2 linked regions of the Arabidopsis thaliana genome follow. The protein of the gene in region 2 purifies or fractionates together with the protein of the main gene of each other region. This does not show direct contact. Each region holds a gene or a part of one and is shown on either strand. Other genes may lie near its edges. The genes, in order: PAF1 and AT1G24510.

Region 1 (3,928 bases), on a different chromosome or scaffold from region 2:
TACCAATAACCAAAACAACCATAAAAATTGTAAGAGATGTGTTTTTAGTCATCTTTGATGATACAATTATAATAAAAGTAATGGATGTAATTGTATTGTGAACAAAGAACAATATATATAGATTAATTGAATGCATACATTTATATTTACAAAAATATCATTAATTATAAAAAAAAAATAGAAATAAATCAGTTAGTAATTAACTAATTAATGCTTGAATTTGTGTTTACCAAAAAAAGAGAGCAAAAAGATCAGTTAGTAATTAATTAGATGCTTTTTTTGTCATTAGATGCTTGAATCAGGAAAACTTACAAAATTGAAAACAAATCTAGAAAGTAATTATAAGTGAAAACATATAAAAACGTTATAAATCATAGTATATGCTAACTTTAACTAATCTATATAATAAATAAATTAAAATTTTGAAAACAAATCATCAAATATCAAATAAAGAATAATTCTTGGGTTCACTTCTAGGGGGTGAACCTAATTTATTCACCCCCTCTTTAATAACAAATCAATATTTGCCATGTTATTTGATTAAAAAAACTTAAAACAATTAATATTATCAAAATAAAATAATTAAAATAAATCATTAAAACCCCACTTTTTTGTAAATCCAAACCGATATATAATCTCGTTTAATTACCAAATCTAAGCCCTAATTCTCCTTTATAAACCCAAACCGCCATTTAGACTTATTTAATCGTTAAAAAACAAACCATAATCGTATTTTCTAAACCCAAACCGACATTTAACCTAGTTTAATTGTAAAATCTAAATATGTTTATAAGCCCAAACTAATATTTAACATCGTATAATCATAAAATCTAAACCCTAATCGTATTTTGTAAACCCAAACCGATATTTAACCTCGTTTAATCATAAAATCTAAACTCTCATTTTTTCTAATAAACTCAAACCGATACATAATTTTCTTTTAGTGGCAAATTAGATTTAATAGTTAAATTAATTTTTTATTATTATTACTAGTTTGTTAGTTGGGTTTAAAAGTTTCATCAAAGGAGATTTCATAATTGAATAAGGTAAGTGACGATTTTAAAATAGCTTGTTTTTAGAAGTTTTTCGTTCTAGGTTTGTTCTTATTGCATGTAGCTAGTTAGCGTCATGAACTAGTAACTGATCTTAGGGAGATAAAACCACAAAAGTGCTGAATTTATTTACTTGATCTAACATACATAGACTAGAAACTACGTTATAACAATACAAAAGCTTAGTTGTAGAGCTTTGTTTGTGGAGGTAAAGGAACTTGATCTCATTGGGTGATTGATTTTGTGGCTACAACAAAAATCTGAGTAGTTAAGTTTTTATCGATGCTACAAAATTCAATCCCCTAGTCATCTGTGATTCCAGTTTAAGGAACTTGAGCTAAACTGAATATGCTTTTGTTAATCTTCTTGTATGAGACAATATGAACTTTCGCGATATTCTTAAAGACTCAACGATTAATTATCATACAGTTGATAATAATAGTCGAAAATAACAATCGTTACCAATCCACTTCTATATTATGTATAAAATGATTAAAACTATATTATAAAACAAATAATAATTCAAATTTAAATAAATATTTAAAAATCAAAATTCTATTAGTGTTGTACAAGCACATGTTATGATCTACTTCATCACTATATTCGTCAAAACTAAAAATGTATGACTTTTCAGCTGTCATAAAAGTTTAGAAATATACAATAAATTAATTTTAAGATATCAATTTTAAAAATGATAAATGTTCTAAAATTTTAAATAGGATCAATCACAGAGACTTTTTTTTTGTAACAATTCAAATTATATGATTACTAATAACAAAATCGCAAAGTTTTATATTTATAAAATTAATTCATTTTTATTTAGTTTCAAATAATATACAAGAATATTCAAGCTAGTGTGCTCTGTTTTGTCTAATGTTTTTTTTTTTACTGAGAACTATTGACCAAACTCTTTTGTACATATTTAAAGATTCTTAAACAATTTCACATTTCATCAAAAAAAAAAAAAAGAATATACAAGGATTATCCTGTATAAAAACATAGGCCTAAAGTCTGTATAAAACATATGCCTAAAGTCTTAGCCCAATAAGCTAGATACCGAGCCAATACAAAGCCCAGAATTTAATAGAAGCCCATTAAATCGAGAGAGAGATCGAGAGCATCCATGGCTTGAAGGAAAAGAAAAGTTTTGTTTCTGAACTTTCGTCTCTATAAACCCTTTCGACGACGAGTGAAGAAGAAAGCGAGACGAAGAAGCAAAGATGTTCAGAAACCAATACGACACAGATGTTACGACATGGAGTCCAACAGGTCGTTTATTCCAAGTGGAATACGCCATGGAAGCAGTGAAGCAAGGATCTGCAGCAATTGGACTCAGATCTCGTTCTCATGTCGTTCTCGCTTGTGTTAACAAAGCTCAATCGGAGCTTTCTTCGCATCAGAGGAAGATCTTTAAAGTCGATGACCATATCGGTGTTGCAATCGCTGGTCTCACAGCCGACGGTCGTGTATTGTCTCGGTATATGAGATCGGAATCGATTAATCACTCTTTTACTTATGAGTCTCCTCTTCCTGTTGGTCGTCTCGTTGTTCATCTTGCTGATAAAGCTCAGGTTAGGCTTTTGTAGTTTGTTGATTGAGATTTGGTGGAATTTGGAATCGATTACGCTTGGTTTTGTGTGATTCGGTGATAAGTGTGTTGTAATTGTTAATTGAAATTTGAGGAATTTGGAATTCGATTACACTGTGAATCACTGAGCTCAAATTTAGCCATTAGCTTCTTGACTTTGTGCTTAGGGTTTGATCTGAGCTGATTAGGATTCTAAATTGCATTAAATAAGAGTTTTCTTAATTTATCATAGCAGAAACTTGAATCTTGTTTAGTGAAATTGTTTGCATGTTTGTTGTTACTGCTGCATAATCTTGTATTTAAAAGTTTAACCATAACTAAGAGCTTAACAATAGGATTCTAAAAGAAAGAGATTTGTGTTTCTTCTGGTGCTTTTGCTTGTTTCTGCAGTTTTTATTTGGAGTTATTGATTTTCAGTACCTCTAAGAAGTGAATTCCGCTCTTTGTTTTGCATCGTTCTCACCACTATGCACTTATCTTACCAGTCAATTACTCCTGCTAGGTGCTTGTTCGACATCTTTTCTGTAATTATGTGCTACTTCTCACTTTGTTTTTCCACCTATCTAATGGTTTCTTAAGTTAGCTGTTTTATCCACATCTGCATAAATACTTTTCAAAGCCATTGGGAAGAGCTCCCATATATTATATGTGTTTATAAAAGGAAGGGTCTTGTATTTCCTCATTGTCAAACTTTATTAGTTGGTTTACTCTTTTGTAGGAGAGATTTTACTTGACAGGTCCAACTTAAGTTACATTATTGTCATATTTCTTGTCTTTACCAAGGGTTTTTTTTGTTATATTTCTTGATCTGGAAAAGGAAATATTTATGTGTATGTTTGCCTTTATGAACAGGTCTGTACCCAACGATCATGGAAACGACCCTATGGTGTTGGTTTGCTGGTAGGTGGATTGGATGAGTCTGGAGCCCACCTTTACTACAACTGTCCCAGCGGAAACTACTTCGAGTACCAAGCTTTTGCTATTGGATCCCGTTCCCAAGCAGCAAAGACCTATCTGGAACGCAGGTTTGAGAGCTTTGGGGATTCTTCTAGAGAAGATCTGATCAAAGATGCTATTTTGGCTGTTAGGGAGACATTGCAAGGGGAAACACTGAAGAGTTCTCTCTGCACAGTCGCTATTCTAGGAGTCGATGAACCGTTCCACTTCCTGGACCAGGAAGCAATACAGAAAGTGATCGACACATTTGAGAAAGTGCCAGAGGAAGAGGAAGGAGAAGGCGAGGCTGGTGAGGGTGAGGCCGAAGCTGCCGAGGCTGCACCAGCAGAAC
Region 2 (3,928 bases):
GCTGCTAAAGTGCTAATAAGTACAAAAGACAAGGCGATTACCTCCACGGATGAAAACAGTGACAGCTTTTGAGTTCGCACAGTGCTCAATATACAGCATTCGTTCTTTTGTTGTGCCAAAAGATTTCTCACGAACCACGCCAGCCTAAATATATCAGGAAATGTTGGGTTTCAATGGTCTGTTTAAAATCTAATTAACATTTTACAAGCAAAACCTAGTGAAAGTAAAAAAAATACCTTCCCTAACTTCTCTGGGGTCAACTCCTGGAATCTTGGAACAATTCTACCGCCTACAAAAAGAAAAATTTCTGATCAGCTTTGCATAACTGATACAAACACTAGCATTAGATGCTTAAGAGTACTTTACTTACCTGTGGCTATTGCGATAAGTTCTAATTCAACACCCCCTACCCATCTGACAGCAGGCAAATTCCTGTGCATCAATAGATGGTTTGCCTCATCATCGAATCCCCATTGGCAAATAACCAGCGTAGCACCAACATCCTGCAAAGTTAAAATCATAAGGGTCATACATAAATCATATCATAAAATGCATTGTGGTACTAATGACCATTGTCAAAAGGATTTCTTCAGTAGCTTACTCAACATCCAACTGACAATATAAATTAATACAAATTAAAACCTACCTTGCACTTTTGTACCATCTCATCGAAATATTGCTGCTCTTGCTTGCGCAATGTCTCAAACTTTTCCACTGTATCAATGTCCACCTTATGCTTAGTCTTCGGCTTCGGTGGCTCAAAGGGACAAGTCAAAATGGCAATGTGGGCATCTTCAATCTGCTTTGGCATTTGCGGATGACTCATATCTTTGTCAATCAGTATTCCATAAATAAGCTCAGTGTCCTCCAACTTTCCCCCAACTTTCCCCTCTACTTTGATCAGATCTAAGTTAACATCCCTCCTCTCTAAATCAGCAACAGCAAGAACCGCTTTAACAGCAATCTCAGCTAAGCTGCGCTTGCATCGATTCACACTGTAACAATGAGCAAGAAAGAGTTAAGACAGTATACTATAAACCAAGTAAAAACAAGCAACAACTATTGAAAAGTAGCCTGAATATCAAAAAGGAACATTACATCTTCGAGGACAGAGTAGTCATGCAAGTCTGAACCAGAGGCTCATAATTATTAACATCGAATTCAAACTTTTGGGCAATACGCTCCAAATGCTCAACAGCCACCCTAGAAGCCATCTCATATCCTTCAGCAATACGAATGGGATGAATTCCTCTATCTAACTGACGTTCAGCTTGCTCAAGAAGTGCACCAGCCATAACAACAACACCTGTTGTTCCATCACCAATTTCATAATCCTGACTCCGCGACAGTTCCACCATTAGTTTCGCAATCTGGTTGTCAACATCCATTTGCTCCAATATCGTAGCACCATCGTTTGCTGCAAAAGCAAAACAAAGGCGAGGTTACAAACAATATACAAGTAGTAGTAGAGCTGAGCTAAGTTAACAGACATAGCGAATCGATTTTCAAAAAGTAGATGGATCTATTCATCAAACTACGGCATCAACATAGTAAACACTATGCCAAGTAAACAAGAGCGAAACTAGAAATTTAAAAGCAGATATGAAGAAATCAAAAGGAAGAAACGAACTGATGGTGATGTCTCCGTCAGGTCCTTGAAGCATCTTATCCATTCCTTTGGGTCCAAGAGAGGATCGAAGGATCCGAGCCACGGCTTTACCAGCGGCGATATTGGCTTTCTGAGCATCGATTCCTCTAAGACGAGTCTTTTGATCTTGCTCTCTCAGTATAATGAACGGACGCCCGAACTCATCGAACGCCAGCGCCATTTTCGAGCTTCTCTCGATCCGATCGAACTATAGATCTTGGGTTTTTTTTGTTTCCTAGTGCACTGGAGAGGAAAAAAAAAAGTTGAAATGGGGAAAAAAGCGAGAAGAAGAATGTCTGGAAGATTTGAGAGCTTAAAGTGGTCGAGTGTAAAACCCTAACTCGCTGTTGATGGCAGAATCGTAAATCGGAATTGATTCATGGGCCTAACAAGACGTTTGGGCTTATGGGTTTAAAGCCCATCTGATATAAGATGAATAGAATGTTCATGGCAATACTATCATAATTTGGTTCTTTAATAAGACACTCGTTAATACGACGATTTGAAGTTGAACGAATGGTTTCATATTCATTCGCATGTTCACCAATCAAAATCTATATCTGAACAAGTCCATTTTTAGGTACTCCAGTAGATTTACATTGGATTGTAAGGTAATCCTACATCTTAGTTCAAACGTTTTCTATTTTATTTTTGGTCTTGATCACAAAACACAACTATATATACATATCAAACTCATCTTCGGAAATCATCACAATCAATAAACCTCAAACCCTAAAATAAATTAAACGAGTTCTACGTAAGAAGGAGAGAGAGAAGAATGGGTCGCCAAAACATTGTCGTCGTGGTTGCCCTCGTCTTCATGGCCATCATTGGCCTTGCCGCAGCTGCCTCCTCTCCATCTCCTTCAGCGTCTCCCTCCAAAGCTCCAGCTGCCTCCAAAACCGATCATGTCGAGGCTCCAGTCACCGATGACCAAATCGGAACCACCGATGACGATGCAGCTCCTACTCCTGGTGACGGTGACGTTGCAGTGGCTGGTCCTCTAGGAAGTGACTCCTCGTACGACAATGCGCCTACAGGCTCTGCTGATTCTGCCAAAAGCGGTGCGGCAGCTCTTGGCGTCTCTGCGGTCGTCGTTGGTGTTACATCCATTGCTGGTTCTTTCTTGTTACTCTAAGTTGGGCATTGTTTTATGATAAGAAGGTTATTTTAAACGAAGATTATTTATATGTAAGGATGATTGTGATGATCTTGTTGTAATTTGTTTCTCCTTTGTTAGGAGAAACGTTGTCTTTGTAATAATACTGAAAAAAAAAACTTTTCACTAACGGTGTTTAGATACAAAATTCTGAATTGAATATAATAATATACGATTTCGGGGTCAAAAGCCATAATAATTAATTAAGTAAAATTGTAACCATCGTGTATAAATCTTAATCAAAATGCAAACAAAAAAAAAACAAGAAAAAAATATCCTAATCAAAATGCATATATTTATGCATTTAGGGACGTTAAGATTACTCAAACTCTCTATCACTAGAGGAGATGATACAAGATTTAAGACTAGCCTTTGCCAGAGAATCAGCCAAAGTGTTCTCGGATAGAAATACCAAATAAAAGAAAAGGACATATTTTTTAAACTCCAAATAATAACTCAAACTAATAGACTAGATTGAAAATAAGTTTTGTCTCCAGAGAAAGAAAATATATTACATTGGAATTTTAAAGGTGTGAATGTGATGAGGAGCCAATTTCATGGTTGGGTTTGGGGAGCTTCCACTATAGAAGCTCAGCGAGGGACCCATACAAGGAGTGAAGGAAGAGCCGTACGCGTAGTAGTGTATACGGGTTCGTATTGGTGTGTTGCACTTTTGGTCCTAAACTCAACTAATAATACCTATTTTCTTTTTCTTTTTCCTTTTTCTTTTTCGATCTCTTTCTTTCTTTAGGATCTCTTTAGTCTTATCTATCAAAATACCACTTCGTATTTGGGGTATTCCTATCAATAACCAACCATACAAAGCATCAATGCATCATTCTCATATTCATATATCATACTTGATAAAGAAAGTTCCATATTCACTGACTGTCCAGATATTTATTATTTGAAAAGAAAAAAATTGTTCAACGATTTAAAGAGAAGTTTTTGAAATGACCATGTAAAAAGTGATGATTTTAAAGTAAAAGAGATCAAAAGGCATAGGAGTGCTCTTTCGAACTTGACACCTATTGCAAGATATTTAAACTTTCGAGAATGTTGCTCTTCTATGATATTTTCATTAAAATTTAAATAAAGAAAATAAATATCCTCATTTCAAC

What was found.
Region 1: the proteins of AT1G24510 (region 2) and PAF1 fractionate together in Arabidopsis thaliana (co-fractionation; one large-scale study listed by BioGRID). This does not show direct contact.

What each region holds. Positions count from the first base shown.
Region 1 is NC_003076.8:17,159,320-17,163,247, reverse strand, and holds the start of PAF1 (proteasome alpha subunit F1), read left to right. Parts: upstream 1-2,091; 5' UTR 2,092-2,272; coding exon 2,273-2,623; intron 2,624-3,492; coding exon 3,493-3,928. Other genes in the region: LCR28 (low-molecular-weight cysteine-rich 28), read right to left, coding at 1-52.
Region 2 is NC_003070.9:8,686,273-8,690,200, forward strand, and holds the start of AT1G24510 (TCP-1/cpn60 chaperonin family protein), read right to left. Parts: upstream 1,975-3,928; 5' UTR 1,830-1,974; coding exon 1,631-1,829; exon of another isoform or gene 1,531-1,630; coding exon of another isoform or gene 1,491-1,530; exon of another isoform or gene 1,418-1,490; coding exon 1,099-1,417; intron 996-1,098; coding exon 647-995; intron 504-646; coding exon 371-503; intron 290-370; coding exon 237-289; intron 145-236; coding exon 42-144; intron 1-41. Other genes in the region: BCP1 (homolog of Brassica campestris pollen protein 1), read left to right, coding at 2,427-2,786. UniProt on the Arabidopsis thaliana protein: Molecular chaperone; assists the folding of proteins upon ATP hydrolysis. Known to play a role, in vitro, in the folding of actin and tubulin.